Callithrix jacchus: one gene and its partner. The protein of the gene in region 1 interacts with the protein of each later gene in a pairwise test. Links are inferred from orthologs where the notes say so. Each region holds a gene or a part of one and is shown in the gene's direction. Other genes may lie near its edges.

Evidence for each region.
Region 2: the proteins of FATE1 (region 1) and AGTRAP interact in binary tests that used the Homo sapiens proteins (3 or more experiments, as listed by UniProt). The two-hybrid records come from large-scale screens. The link is inferred for Callithrix jacchus from reciprocal best matches to the Homo sapiens genes FATE1 and AGTRAP.

The regions. Positions count from the first base shown.
Region 1 is NC_133524.1:148,011,927-148,019,321, forward strand, and holds the start of FATE1 (fetal and adult testis-expressed transcript protein), read left to right. Parts: upstream 1-2,853; 5' UTR 2,854-2,935; coding exon 2,936-3,044; intron 3,045-4,039; coding exon 4,040-4,167; intron 4,168-7,395. UniProt on the Homo sapiens protein: Involved in the regulation of endoplasmic reticulum (ER)-mitochondria coupling. Negatively regulates the ER-mitochondria distance and Ca(2+) transfer from ER to mitochondria possibly implicating it in the regulation of apoptosis.
Region 2 is NC_133508.1:49,616,801-49,624,087, forward strand, and holds the start of AGTRAP (type-1 angiotensin II receptor-associated protein), read left to right. Parts: upstream 1-2,601; 5' UTR 2,602-2,634; coding exon 2,635-2,661; intron 2,662-7,287. UniProt on the Homo sapiens protein: Appears to be a negative regulator of type-1 angiotensin II receptor-mediated signaling by regulating receptor internalization as well as mechanism of receptor desensitization such as phosphorylation.

The DNA.
Region 1 (7,395 bases):
CATACCCTAGAACCCCACAATTTCACTTTAGGCGCCTGCTGTGCAAACACATTTACATACGTGTGCAGAGAGATATGTTCAGGAATGCTCACTGCTACGGTGTTTATAAAAATAAAAAAAGCTCTAGACACCCAAAATATCCATGAGCAAGTCAATACAGGAGTAAGGGAGGCAGCTGTGTAGGGAAATGCTTTGCTGGATTGAGAAGAAATGAGGTAGATTTGTTCTGACACAGAGAGATCCCCAAGGCACAGTTGCAGAATGGCACACACCTCAGATGTTAGATCTCATTTGTGTAAAACACTGCACACTGCAAACATATAGACACACCTACAAGCCAGATGTCTTCTGGACCCTTCCTTCCCCTATAAAGAAGCATCTGTCGAATCTCTGGGTGAGCAGAGCCTTCCGCTGGAGTGTTAGGGCTCTGCAGCCTGTCATGTGCACTTGGCCACGTGCCATCTTCCTGGACCCAGGCACCATGTAATATCTGAAAGGTCTCCTCCGTATCCCAGGAGCTCTAGTCCTGCGGGACCCTGCGGTTAGCACCCAGACTGTGGGGTGGGGGACTTTTCAGAATGGTTGGAGCGTGAATTGAGGGCCATGTCAAAAGGAGATTACCACATAGATTATAATTATGAAATTATAAATAGCTAACATGCTAAGAGACAAGTTCAAAGGCACACAGCAAACTCTCTCTCACCTCCAAGTTGTCCTTGGCACTCAATCCAAGAAAGGCAGGCATGCTAAGGTAGTGAGGTGTTGGGGTTTCTGAGTGGCATTGGGGATGCAGGGATTGGGAAGAAAGTCTCTCACCCTTTTTGCTTGGCTTTAGGTGGTGGATTCCTATGCCACCAGGGGGCAGTGCCTCCACATGAGCCTGTGCCCTGTGCCTCTGTTCCCCTGTGCCCAAGAAGCCCCACCAGACCAAGGCCAGTTGGCAGCTAGACAGAAATCTGGCCTCCATAGCCCAAGGCCCTGTGGCAAGCCAGCTTTGCTGACTTCTCAGTACTCCTCACCATCCAGCCACCCTATAGGGAGGGGATTGTTAGCCCCATTGGCCATGGGGGAGACTGAGACCCAAAGAAGGAGAGACTTGCAAAAGGGAAAACCTGGAGGTGATAGTGAGATAGAATTGTCAGATAGACTACAGGATATGCAGCTACATTTTAATGTCAGATCAACCTAGAATCATTTTTTAGAGTAAATATGTCCCAAAGGTTAGTGTACAAGAGAGCATACTTACACTAAAAATGATGTGCTTTTTACCTGAAATTTAAATGTACTTTGTACCTGTACTTTCATTTGCTCAATATGGCAAACGTGACTGGGCTTCCCAGGCTCCTAAATCCCACTGAACTGAGCACCCTCCACAGTTTCTCTGCTTCCAAGGTGGCCCTCCAGAAAGCTCAAATTTCATTGCAGCTGCTCCACTGGAGCTGAGAAGGGCTTCTTTGGGGCCCCCAGGAATGCAGGCAGGGACTACATCAGCTCTGCTTCCCAAGAGCTCGGCCCCAGCACTGGACAGGTGAGATGGGGGCAGGGGGCAGTCAGTCTCAGACCAAGCAGCCCTATCTCAGCTAGTCCTGGCCCCTTCTTCTCTGTTTCCCTCCCTCCCTCCCTTTCTACCTATCTCCCTTCCTCCCTTCCTCCCTCCCTCTTTTCCTCCTTTCTTCCACCTCTTCCTCCCACTTGGCCCAGGGACTCTGGGGGAAGAGGAGGCTATTTGGAAAAGGAACCAGGACAGGTTTATAAAGGATTCCTTTTACAAATAGCCTCCTATTACCCCAGGGGCTCTGGGGTTGTTTCCTAAATGAAGGGTTCAGCATTGGTGGTTGTAGCAATCAGGGTTTTCAGAGAAACAGAGCTGATAGGATATATGTATGTATGTATGTATGTATGTATGTATGTATGTATGTATCTACATATGCACAAATATAGAGAAATTTATTTTAAGAAATTGGCTTATGTGACTGTGGGCCTCACAAGTCTGAAATGTACAGGACAGGCCGGCAGGCAGGAGACTCAGGCAAGAGTTGACCCTGCAGTCTTGGGGTTGAAATGCCTCTTCTCTGGAAACCTCAGTCTTTGCTCTTCAGGCCTCTCAGTTGATTGCGTGAGACCCACCCACATCATCGAGGATGAGTCTCTACTTTATTTCAAGTCCACTGGTTGTAGATGCCAATCACAGCTACAAATTGCCTCATCAGCAACACCTACACGGTGTTTGATGGAATCACCAGGGGCAAGTGCCTGGCCCAGGTGACTCATAAACCTGACCATCACAGTGGTCTAGTCAGTAGGTAAGCTGAGGGAGAATTGGAACTTAGAAGGTGCAGGGCCTGAGGCCCTTGGGGTTCTAGTGGCTGCAGTCAGGTCACACCTCTTTCACCCTTCCCTCCTTTGGTTCTCATGGCTCCTGCCTAGGCTGACCGACTTCAGAAAAAGGCTGCCTCCTGTGTTTGGGGACTCTGGATATGGGAGGTAGGATATGCTCTCCAGAGAATCCCTTTTGAAGGCATGGTATGGCCTGGATTGCTAGGACCTAACTCTGCTGTGGCCACTGTGTGGCTCTTGGACCCTGTGCCAATCCTTGCATCTGCCTAGAAATGATGATGGGATCCCCCATGAGCTAAATCTGGAGATCCATGAGCCAGAGCAGTTCTCACAGGCAAAAGCTTGGAGTTGTATCTCTTCTAAGCTGCTTACAGAGTTGCAGGGGAGAACGCCATGGACCCAACCAATTAGATACAATGGGAACAGAAGGTACTCAGTCCAAGGCCTCAGCCTAGAGAGGGAGTGTCACTCCACCCCCAGGTCCTACTATATCTTCCTTGAGCTCCTGTCCCTGGAAGAGGCGATTTTCTGAGTGTGACTCCTCTGTTTCTGGCACCCTGCACATTTTTAGCCATTGCTTACAAGTGAACAGCTGGTTATGATGGCAGGAGGCCCTATCAGCACCAGGGAGGAGGTAGAAATATCCCTGGCTGAAGAACTGAATCATGGAAGCCAAGGGCAAAACCAAGAGCACCTGGGGATAGCAGGTGAGGATCCTCTAAAATACCACTTGGCTATAGCCAACTCTGTAGATACGTGTCTATACCTGTGCATGTGTGTGTTGGAAAAGGTGCATGTGTGCAAGGAAGTGTTTGCACATGTGTGTGTTGGGGAGCTTCGAGGATTTGTGGGTTGATGATAAGGGAGGTAGGGAAAAGGGAGCATTTTTCCTACTGTCTCCCACTTGTCCAAGCCACCACCATGTCTGTTGCAAAATACTCAGAGAGCTCAAATTACAAGATCAGAGATCAATTCTCTCTCCCAATGCTCTAATTCATTTCCCTGCCCTTCAGAGGAAAGTCCAAACTCCACAGTCTATAAGATAGTATCAGCCTCCTCAAAACATTTCATGCTATGATATAGACAGAAAATATCATTTCTATAGCTCACAAAAGGGCCAAGATCACACTGCATTTATGTTTGTTATTACAATGCTGCAAGCGTGCTTATTCCCCAAAGACCTTGCATTTGCTGTTTCTTCTGTCTGGAATGTGCTTTCCCTCAATTTCCCAGGGCTGGGTCCTTTATTTCTTTCAGGTCCCTGCTTCAGTTTTTGTCTCCTACTTTTTAGAGGGAGCCCTTTCCTTCTACTATGTTACCATGTTTTGATCGTTTATGGAGCCTGTGTCTCTCTGTCTGCATTTGCGAGGATAGATTACTTTCTGCTGTACACCTGTCATTCCCCCTTATACACAAACAGATGGTCAGTTCTTTGAGAGCTGGAATCTTGTTCTTGATCATTGCTTTCTAAGTGAATAGAGAGTAACCTAGTCTCGAGCTCAGCCATCAGGAAATGCTTGATTAACTTTTGAACAAATGAACAAACTGAGGCCTGGGATCAGCTGGTGGATAGTGTTGAACGGGTGTTGAGTGATTCCCGAGAAGGCTGTGGCCTCTGCCTTCTTTTATGCTGTGTTTCGTGTCCAAAAAGCCCTGGTATAACTTCTGTGGGTGCTCCTGAGGCCTCTGTTCTTCTCTCTAGAAGTGATGGATCATAGATCTCGGTCCCTCAGTGTCCCCCAGAAGAGGCAGAAGGTGGAATCAAAAGCTGCAGGCTCTGCTGAAGCCAAACCAGTTTGGAATATGACTGCCACCCGGCCCAAGAAAATGGTACTGTATGGGGTCCTCAGCATAAGGTGGCCAGGTTGGGATTGGGAGTACTGTTTGTAGGGGCTCTTGCCTCACCAGGTCAGTCAGGGCTAGACATTGACTTGGGAGGAAGAGAAAGCTCCTGTGTTCCGAGCTGGCAAATGAGGAAAGGAAGGTCCAGTTAAAGGTCACGGTCATCCTTTCCTATACTAGAGGTTCAACCTTGGGAGTTCGGAATTCTTGAAACAAATATTGCTTAGGGAGTAAATAAATACTTTACTTTGTAAATCTATTGCGTGAAATAATGCTTTCCTGTATTTAAAATTATGTGTGTGGTACACGTGTGTGTATACACACAATAAGTCAGGTGAGGCTCCTATCCTTTCTGGCTGTTAAGAAATCCAGTCAAGTGGCCTGGCATGGTGACTCATGCCTGTAATCCCAGCACTCTGAGAGGAGGAGATGGGCAGATCACTTGAGGCCAGGAGTTCGAGACCAGTCTGGCCAGTATGGTGAAACCCCCATCTCTATTAAAAATAAAAAAATTAGCTGGGCATGGTGGCACATGCCTGTAATCCCAGCTACTCAGGAGGCTGAGGCATGAGAATCGCTTGAACTCAGGAGGCAGAGGTTGCAATGAGCCAAAATCATGCTACTGCACTCCAGCCTGGGCAACAGAGAGAGACTCTGTAAAAAGAAAGAAGGGGGTGGGGGAGAGAGAGAGAGAGAGAAGAAGCAAGGAAGAAAGGAAGAAATCCAGTGAAGTGAATCTGACAATTTTGTAGCCAATGCTTTTAAGCTACATTCAATATGGGTGAAGAAATATTCTAGAACAAATAGTGGCTATACTGCTGCAAATGATATTGAGAAAAACAGTCATTTTGGAGGGAGAGGGAATTCTGACTCTTCTGGAGAATTAGGTGAGTTCCACAGTTCTGTAGCCAATCCTTTTAGCTAGCTACATTCACTGTGGGTAAGGGAAAGTTTTAGAAAAATTGATATGCTGTTGCAAAGGCTGCTGGGAAAAGGCAACAGGATTGGAGAGGGAGGGAGGACTGACTGCTCCAGGAAATAATGTGAGTCCCACGGTTCTGTGGCCAATTCTTTAAGCTACATTCACTGTGGATGTTGAATGTTCTAGAAAGATGCTGGCCACATTGTCGCAAAGGATACTGAAAAAGGCATTTATTTTGGAGAGAAGGGAGACCTGACTGCTTTAGGGAATCACAAATCCCATCTTTCTGTAGCCAATGCTTTTCACCACATTCAGGTTGGTGAGGAAAAATTAATAAAATTTTAGAAAATGGTGGTTTTTACTGTTACCACAGAAAAGTTTGGAAGTTACTGGGAAAGGGAGGGAGACTTGATTGCTGAAATGATTTGTTGGATGGCCCCAGGGAAGATTGAGAAAAAAGGCTTCCAGGTTTAAAGATTTCCTGGGAATAAAAATAGGTCAGATGTTGATCTGGCTTCCTGTGTCCAAAGACAGAAGCCAAATCAAGCTGCCCAGGAGGTCAGGCTCCGAGACTAGGGAGAATATCACCTCTGGTTTAATTAAAGCTGGTTATGAGGGCTAGAGGCAGACTGCCTGAAAATATACCCTTATACTGAATTTAGAAATTCAATTTAGAAATTTAGAATTAGGAAATCTAATTTATTTATTTATTTATTCCTTTATTTTTGAATAAAACAGCTGATGGAACTGCCTCTACGAGAACCATAATATGCAAAGGCGAGAAAAGTTAAAAATGCTTTCCTGATGACTCGGAAAAAGTAGTGTGCCTTTAAAGTTACATGGAAGTAAAAGTAACATTTTTGGAAATGATTAACAGAGAGAAACAAACAAACAAAATCCAGCCATTTCTATTTTTATTTTTTGCCTTCGAATCTCTCAAATATATTTTTTTATCCTTCTGATTCCAATTTATAGGAAAGTCAAGCGATTATAGTCATGGGGTCTCCCTAATACCCATTATATTTTTTCATGCTATTTTTGAAATATCTTAAGAAAATGAAATATTGTGATGGTGAACTACTATTCATAAAAACGTTCCATCAATATCTGTGTGCTCCTCTGGAGGAAGATTAATTTTGCGTTATTGCAACAGACGGAGTGTAGTGGTAAAATTCCTATGAAAACCCTTTACACAGAAATTGATCCACCTTCAGTTTGATGTCGTGACTTCAAAACAGAGAAGGGCTGCAGATCTTTCTCAGTGACCGGTGAGCCTCCGTTGTCTATTTTTTTGGAAGAATGAGGCAAATGGAAGGGCTAACCCAGGACTCTTCATGCCTCGGTCAGGCCTCTCAAAGGGCAGGTTCTACTTCAGCAGGATGAGTGGGTAAGGAACTGACTGTCATGTGAGGCACCCTGAACCCCGCCAGAATGAAGAGGGTTTTATTTTGTGTCACTTTCACCCCAGCTTTCTTATTCATTTGGTTCAGGTTTTGGCATGGGGTAAGTGCCTGGCTGCTTCATACACAGATCTTTACTTAAAGTCCCTGTTTTCTGCCCTTCCCTCCTTTCTTATGATATGCTGCCATTGTCCTTGCAGGTCTAGTTCCTCTCTGGATGCTGCTGGCTGGGCTCCCCTTGTCAGCTGAGCCCTATCTGCTTCCCATCCACACTGAGGCCTGGTTTCTCCATGGACACTTCCTGGACTCCACAATTTTATGGAATTCTTTCATTGGCTAAGGCCTCTCATGTTGTCTTAGTGTCTTCACTGGCACTTACTGTAGCCTTAACAGGAAGGAGTGTTACATATAAGAGACATCATATTGTAATGGTTAAGAGCATAACCTCTGGACTAAAATGTCCTGGGTTCAAATTACTGCTCTGCTACTTACTAGCTGTGTGTCTTGGACAAGTTAATTAATCTCTCTGTGTTTCATTTTCCCGTACTTTCAAAATGGAATGATAATGATATCATTTCACAGAGTCGTGCTGAGGAATCAATCACTTGTATTGGTAAGGACTTAGAGGATGGCGTGGTCCCTGGCATGTGGTGTGTGTTAAATAGGCAGCTTGTGAAATATTTCATCTTGAACTGGAAACCTAGAAGTATGACTTGAGGCCAGGCAGGTCTGGCACCAAAAGCCACTCTCTGTTCCTCTATCCCCTACTGACTTTTCAAAGGCATCAGATAGCCCTGGCCCAAGGCCTCTGGGCCATAGATGTACAAGCTAGGGTGTCATTGGCAGATGGATGAAAATGAAAGCCACAAGGATGGCTGGGCTTGCCCAGAGCAG
Region 2 (7,287 bases), on another chromosome or scaffold:
AATCTCTTGACCTCGTGATCCACCCACCTCGGACTCCCAAAGTGCTGGGATTATAGGCGTGAGCCACCACACCCGGCCCCAGGTCTTGATATTATACAAAGACTCACTCAGGCAGTTTTGTGGGTTCCCACCTGGTTTCCCCCATCCTAGGAAGAAGACCAAGCACTCAGGTATACCCTGAAGGTGTCCATACCCAGGTGACACTAAAAAAAACTGATGTTATCTAAAGGAAAGGTGATGTTGGGAAGGGCCTGGAGTTAGGGCGGATTAATTAATGTTCTTGTTGGGGTGTGGTGGGGGGCGCAGTGGTCAACAATCTTTAAGAGAAGGACTAGGTGAGGCACGAGACAGCCCTTTCCTTCCTCATGCACAATTAAGGGAGGAATTTCTTACAGTCTTTCAGCTAGAGTTTTCTAAAACTTTTGGTATGCTTATTAAAGTGGGCTCCCACCAATTTGGCTCCTCAGGTTTTTTTTGTTTTGTTTTGTTTTTTGAGCCAAGGTCTCACTCTCTCGCCCAGCTAGAGTGCAGTGGCATGATCTCAGCTCACTGCAGCCTCCCGGTTCAAGCGATTGTTGCGCCTCAGCCTCCCGAGTAGCTGGGACTACAGGCATGCGCCACCATGCCCTGCTAATTTTTGTATTTTTAGTAGAGACAGCATTTCACCATGTTGGCCAGGCTGGTCTCGAACCCCCGAGCTCAGGTGATCCGCCCGCCTTGGCCTCCCAAAGTGCTGGGATAACAGGCTTGAGCTACTTCGCTCAGCCTCCTTGTGTGTTGATAATAACAACAAAAGCTTGTGCGTCCTGCCCATTTACTAAGTGTCAGGCACTGTTCTCTCCTAGACCAAACTGTAGTTGCACTCCTCTGAGTCCTCCTCTTGACTAGCCCTCGACCTTGAACTTCTGTGTCTTCCTGTCCTTGCTGGGCCTGAGCCTGCATAGACCAGTTTCAGCAAGAGTCCTGCTAAGTTAGGGAGAAATCCCTGATCCTTGATGTCTCCTCTTAGGAATCTTCCATCCCCTGGCTCCCTCACTCTGCTCTTTAACAAATCCAACCTTGGTCCTTGTTGTATTCCGAGTTGAGCCCAAACCCTCACCCCACGGCAATCACCCTACTGCAGGGTCCAGCCCTATAGGGTTCTGTGAGCCTCTCCCAGCTGGTGCGAAGACGATAAACTGTAGAAATAAAAGACACAGAGATAGAGAAAAGAGAGTTTGAGCCCAGGGATCCACTGCTACCCAAATCGCAGAGATCACAAGTGGCCCCGAATGCCGGGACGCTTTCACTTTTATTGAGTTGCAAATCTGGGAGCAGGGTAGGTTGGGCGAGGTCTTGGTGGTCCGAGAGTGGGGGCAGGGTGGATAGGGCGTGGCAGTGATAGGGTCAAGTACGTCACTTGTCGTTCAGGTATGGCTGAGGAATTTCTGGCGCCCGAAGTGAAGTAAGGAGCATACTGCATCAGCGCCTTTTCCATACTTATCAAGAAAGAACTACAATATTAAGATTTATATTACTCTTACTGATTATCTTTTCTAAGAAAAAAGGAAACAGGAGCAGAAGTAGAACATGAGAGTAGCCATGGAACGTGATCACGGAAGCACAGCATCACATAGAAACAGTTAAGCCTCCGGATGTCTGCGGGCCTACCTGACAGCCGTCAGGCCTACCACAAGAGCTTGGAGAAGCGGAGTTTTCTCCAAACTTCCCCAGGAAGGAGACGTCTCAGCCATTTTGGGCATCTCCTTCCCTAGCTGGCTAAACAGCGGGCGCTTTCCCGGCGCTGGCGCTGCCGCACAGTCGCGGCGCCCTCCAGCAGCCCTTATACAGGCGTGATAGAGGGCTTAGAGCATCTTGCCTTAGTGTCATTCATTTCACAAGTCACCCCAGGTTCACACTTCCGACCTGAGAGGCATCAGCAAAAGAATTAAGATCACCTATAAATAACTAAGATCACATATGAATAACTAATAACTACTAGGGTTATATTTCTAGTTGCTTTCTTCTTCATTATTTATACGGAAATAGGCTGAGGCCTTTTGCTCCAGGCTTGGCGCTTATGGGATCTCCCCCCAACACCCCACAGCAAGTCTTCAACAGTACTGGTTTAACAATTGTCCCAATAACGTTTTCTTTAACAACAGTGGTTAGCTCATTTAATCCTCACAAGGATCACCTGAGGTAGGTATCCTAAATAACCCATTTACACAGGGAAGTGGGGAGGAGACAGGGTGCCCCCGGGGATGAGGCACAAGCTGTTTCCACATCAGCACTTCGCGCCTGGACGGTCCCCCAGTTGTCCTGGCTGCAGGTAGTCCCATCAGCCCGCCTCCTGGGATATTTGCCAGGCAGGAAACCTCCTGAGCGACAGAAACTCCAACTTTTGCCAGCGGCCTCCAGGTACTGCCTGGGCAGCGGCGGGAGCCTGGAGCCTGGGGGAAGGCGCTCGCTGCGGACGCCGTCTCCAAGCAACGGGCGGCGGTCACGTGACCCGCCCGAGCCCGCTTCACGTGGTCGCGAGCTGCGCTGGGGTTGGAGTCTCCGCAAAGGGCGGGGCGGGACCGGTGAAGTTTTTTCCCCTGGGGCCCAGGAGCCCCAGCTGCTGCCGCGCAGGTGCCCTCGGCCTGGGTCCGGATGGAGCTGCCTGCAGTGAACCTGAAGGTGGCGACGGGCGGGGCAGGGTCCCCTTTGCGGGAGGGGGTGGGACATTTGCATTTTCCAGGAAGGTGGGAGGACTGAGGGATGGGAGGGAGAAAGGGAAGGTACAGACCCCAGGAGAGAAGGAGGTGGGCAGGCAAGCCACAGCAGGAAGAAGGATCCAGGTACAGGCCAGCAGGGTGATGCAGAGCGGCCGTTGGACGTGGCAGGGCAGGGCTAGGGCTGTCCCCTCCCGGACTGAGACCCTCCAGCGGGCAGGGCCGGTCCCACGTGCTGTGGCCCACACGCCCAGAATTCCCCTGGAGGAGGAGGAGGAAGGCGGGCGGGAGGGGCTTGGAGGCGGCTCACCTCCCCGGCGTGAGTACAGGGGCTGGGCCTGTCCCCGGGTCCCAGCAGCGTCCCGGGAGCCTCCTCCTGTGCTAAATCGGGTTAAGGAAATCACATGTTCCCAAACAATTCGTTTTATAAAGTTTACACATCCAGCGCCCTTACTTCATAATCAAGAAGCACGAACCCCAACAGAAATTACTTAAAAGCAGAAAACCCCAACTTTGTGCACTTGGGAAAACTCTACAGAGCTTCCTGGGGTGTCTTCATTTCCCGAGCCCTGAGCTCAGCCGGGTCTTGGTGCCAGCGGCTGTTCTTTTTCTCCCCGCCCAGCCCCACCGCCCCCGTGTCTGGGCTCTGTTTGCGTTAGTGGGGCTAGGGGCTTTAACTTTGGTCAGGAAGCTGTGGACCTTGAGCCAAACCGGCCATTTTGGGTCTTAGTGCAGCCTCCTTTGAGGCAGTATCCGGGAATGTCCTCTTACTCATGAGTGACAAAGCATTTAGCACCCTGTTGGTGTCTGGGACTAAAGGAACCTGAGAGATAGATGGTTACAAAACAGTGGCTTAATACACGTTTATTATTATACAACATATGTGCTATGACTTGCATTGGACACGTTTCCCTTTTTTTTTTTTTGCGACTGAGTTTCACTGTTGTCGCCCAGGCTGGAGTGCAATGGCGTGATCTCAGCTCACTGCAACCTTCGCCTCCCAGGTTCAAGCGATTCTCCTGCCTCAGCCTCCCAAGTAGCTGGGATTACAGGCGCCCACTACCATGCCCGGCTAATTTTTGTATTTTTAGTAGAGATGGGGTTTCGTCATTTTGGCCAGGCTGGTCTTGAACTCCTGACCTCAGGTGATCCCCCTGCCTCAGCCTCCCACAGTGCTGAGATTACAGGCCTGAGCCACTGTGCCAGCTACATTTCCTTTCTTAATCATACACATGCTTCAGCAAACCTTCCTGAACGTCCAGTCAACAGCGGAGGGGAGAGATGGCTGGAGCAAGGGAATGGGTTTGCATAGAAAGTTCAGCTGGGAAGAAATTTACATGACAGCAACCTAGATTTGTTGGTATCAGTATTCACTCTATCCCAGGCAAGGTGGGGTTAACACCAACTGCCTTTTCTCTGATTAGGGATGTGCTTAAAATAATTGCTAAGAGAGGATCAGGTGAGATCGGTGGGAGAGACAGAGCTCTCATTTATGGGCGTCTGTGTTGTGCCAGGTTATTTATTTAATCAAGGTAACCTTATGAGAAAGCTGATACAGTCATCTTTTTACAGATTAGCAAACTTCAGCTCAGATTGGGTGACTTGCCAAGGTACCGCAGGGAGTAAGTGGCAGTGTCAGTATTTGAACTCACAGGGATCAGACTCCAGGGCCAGGTCCTTTCTGGGGTACCAGCTTACTCAGGGCTGACTTTGACCTCGGCTGTTTGTGTCCTTTGGGAGGGCTTAGTCTCTCTGAGGTTTTTTTTGAACAACTTTTTGGGCCTGACAGGCTGAGCATCCACAGGTATGAGCTATGCTGGCTTTCTGTATCCAGGATGAAAAGGCTGGTCCTTCCCTTGACTTGGCACATAAGACCCCCTGTCTCCAAGGGTCTTGGCCACTACCAGAGACAAGAAAGTGCTGGGAGGCCCTGAGGGATCAGGGTTGCCAGGTCATATATAGAATCTCCTATACATGACCAGGTGAACTTGAATTTCAGATCAACAACAATCAGATTTTTACTTTTATTATTTATTTATTTATTTTTTTGAGACGGAGTTTTGCTCTTGTTACCCAGGCTGGAGTGCAACGGCGCGATCTCAGCTCGCTGAAATCTCCGCCTCCTGGGTTCAGGCAATTCTCCTGCCTCAGCCTCCCGAGTAGCTGGGATTACAGGCACGCGCCACCATGCCCAGCTAATTTTTTTTTTTTTTTTTGTATTTTTAGTAGAGATGGGGTTTCACCATGTTGACCAGGATGGTCTCAATCTCTCGACCTCGTGATCCACCTGCCTCGGCCTCCCAAAGTGCTGGGATTACAGGCTTGAGCCACCATGCATGGCCCCCAATCAGATTTTTAATATGAGTATGTCTCAGGCAATATGTGGGACATATTAACCAATTATTCATGATCTGATGTTGGAAATTAACTGGGTGTTCTGTATTTTTTTTTGAGATGGAGTCTTGCTCTGTCACCCAGGCTAGAGTGCAGGGGTGCGATTTCAGCTCACTACAACCTCTGCCTCCCGGGTTCAAGCGATTCTCCTGCCTCAGCCTCCTGAGTAGCTGGGACTACAGACACACGCCACCATGCTCAGCTAATTTTTGTATTTTTAGTAGAGATCGTATTTCACCATGTTGGTCAGGCTGGTCTCAAATTCCTGACGTCATCATCTGCCCACCTTGGCCTCCCAGAGTGCTGGGATTACAGGTGTAAGCCACACCTTGCCCAGCCTGGTGTTCTGTATTTTTGTTTGCCGAATCTGGCCACACTGTGGAGGGCAGCTGTTGACTCCTTGCTTGCAGGCACTTAGGGGATGTTCTGAGATCAGAGCCCTTCAGGAGCTGGGGCACTGCTCCCCGTGGCCTGCACTCCCTCCCACTCTGTCATGTCATATATTTCTCAGTTAATGGCTGCATGCCTGCTTCTGCCCAGCTCAGCTAGAGTGGGCAGTGGTGCCAGGTGAGAATAAACAGCTGCCCCAGGCCCTTTGCTCAGAGAGCAGCCCCTGACCAAGCCCTGTCCATGCCTCCTGAAGTGAGGTCCTGAGCTGCAGGAATTCAGAGGTCTTGTGAGAAGAGGACCTTGGGAGGAGGATCCGGTGGTCTAGGAGGTAGTTTAGCATTGGGGTTAAGAACTCTGGAATGAGGACTGCTGGGATGGAGGTGACTTCCTGGCAGGCACTGTGTTGAGTGCTTCCCACGCCTCTCCACCTCCCTGTACCACTGGATCCACACAGCACCACTAAACCAGACATTATTACCCTGCTTTACAGAAGAGCAAACAGCTGTTCTGAGAGTCAGGTGATTTGCCCAAGGTCACTAGGTTTTTTGTTTTTGTTTTTTTTTTGAGACAGAATCTTGCCCTGTTGCCCACGTTGGAGTGCAATGGCACGATCTCAGCTCTCTGCAATCTCTGCCTCAGCCTTCTGAGTAACTGGTTACATGCTCATGCTACCATGCCCAGCTAACTTTTTTATCCTCAGTAGAGATGGGGTTTCACCATGTTGGCCAGGCTGATGTCGAACTCCTGACCTCATGTTCCACCTGCCTGGGCCTCCCAAAGTGCTGGGATTACAGGCATGAGCCACTGCGCCCGGCCCAAGGTCAGCAGGTTCTAAAGTCATGGAGCCAGTCAGATCCACCTGTTTGCCTCCAGTACCCATGAAGTTAACTGCTACATGACTCTGCATCCCATCTATGGCAGCCCTGACTGGTGTCCCTGGGCCCCAGCCACCCTGGGGGATCTCACTAGCACATGTAACAGGCCACCAAGTGTTTGCACAGGACTGGTAGTATATACCATTTCTGGGAAGTCCTACCCTGCTATGGGTCCTCTAGTGGCAAAGGGCACACGTCTTGGTGTGCATGGCCTGTTGTTTTCTCTTCAGGCTTTCCTTCTCCAAGTTAGACTTCCTCATTTCCATTCGCCCTCTCTGGCTCTCCTAGATCCTGACGGTGTAGCACAGTAGACAGAGCACAGGCTTTTGGGGCAGGCAGGTCTGCATTCAAGGCCTTGAGTAGGTTTCTGTGTGTCCTTCAGTAGGTTTTTGAACCTCTCTCAGTATCTGCTTTTTCATTGTAAAAAGAAGATAAATACAGTCCCTACCTCTTAGGATGATGGATCCCATGGTCCAGGAGGTAGTATAGAATTAGGGTTAAAAATTCAGGCCGGGCCAGGAGTGGTGGCTCATGCCTATAATCCCAGCACTTTAGGAGGATGAGGCAGATGGATCACTTGAGGTTAGGAGTTCAAGACCAGCCTGGCCAACATGATCAAACCCTGTCTCTACTAAAAAGACAAAAATTAGCCAGATGTGTTGCTCGCCTGTAGTCCGCTGAGGCACAAGGATCACTTGAACCCGGGAAGCAGAGGTCACAGTGAGCTGAGATCATGCCATGGCACTCCAGCCTGGACGACAGAGCAAGACTCTGTCTCATAAAACAAACAAACAAAAACTCCAGCTGGATAGATCGATTCTGACATTTGCATCTGAGCTCTGTTGTTCATAAGCTTTATGAACGGGGCCAGTTTACTTCCTCTCTCAGAGCCTCAGTTCTACCCCATACGCTTACTCAGATGACCTGAGTTA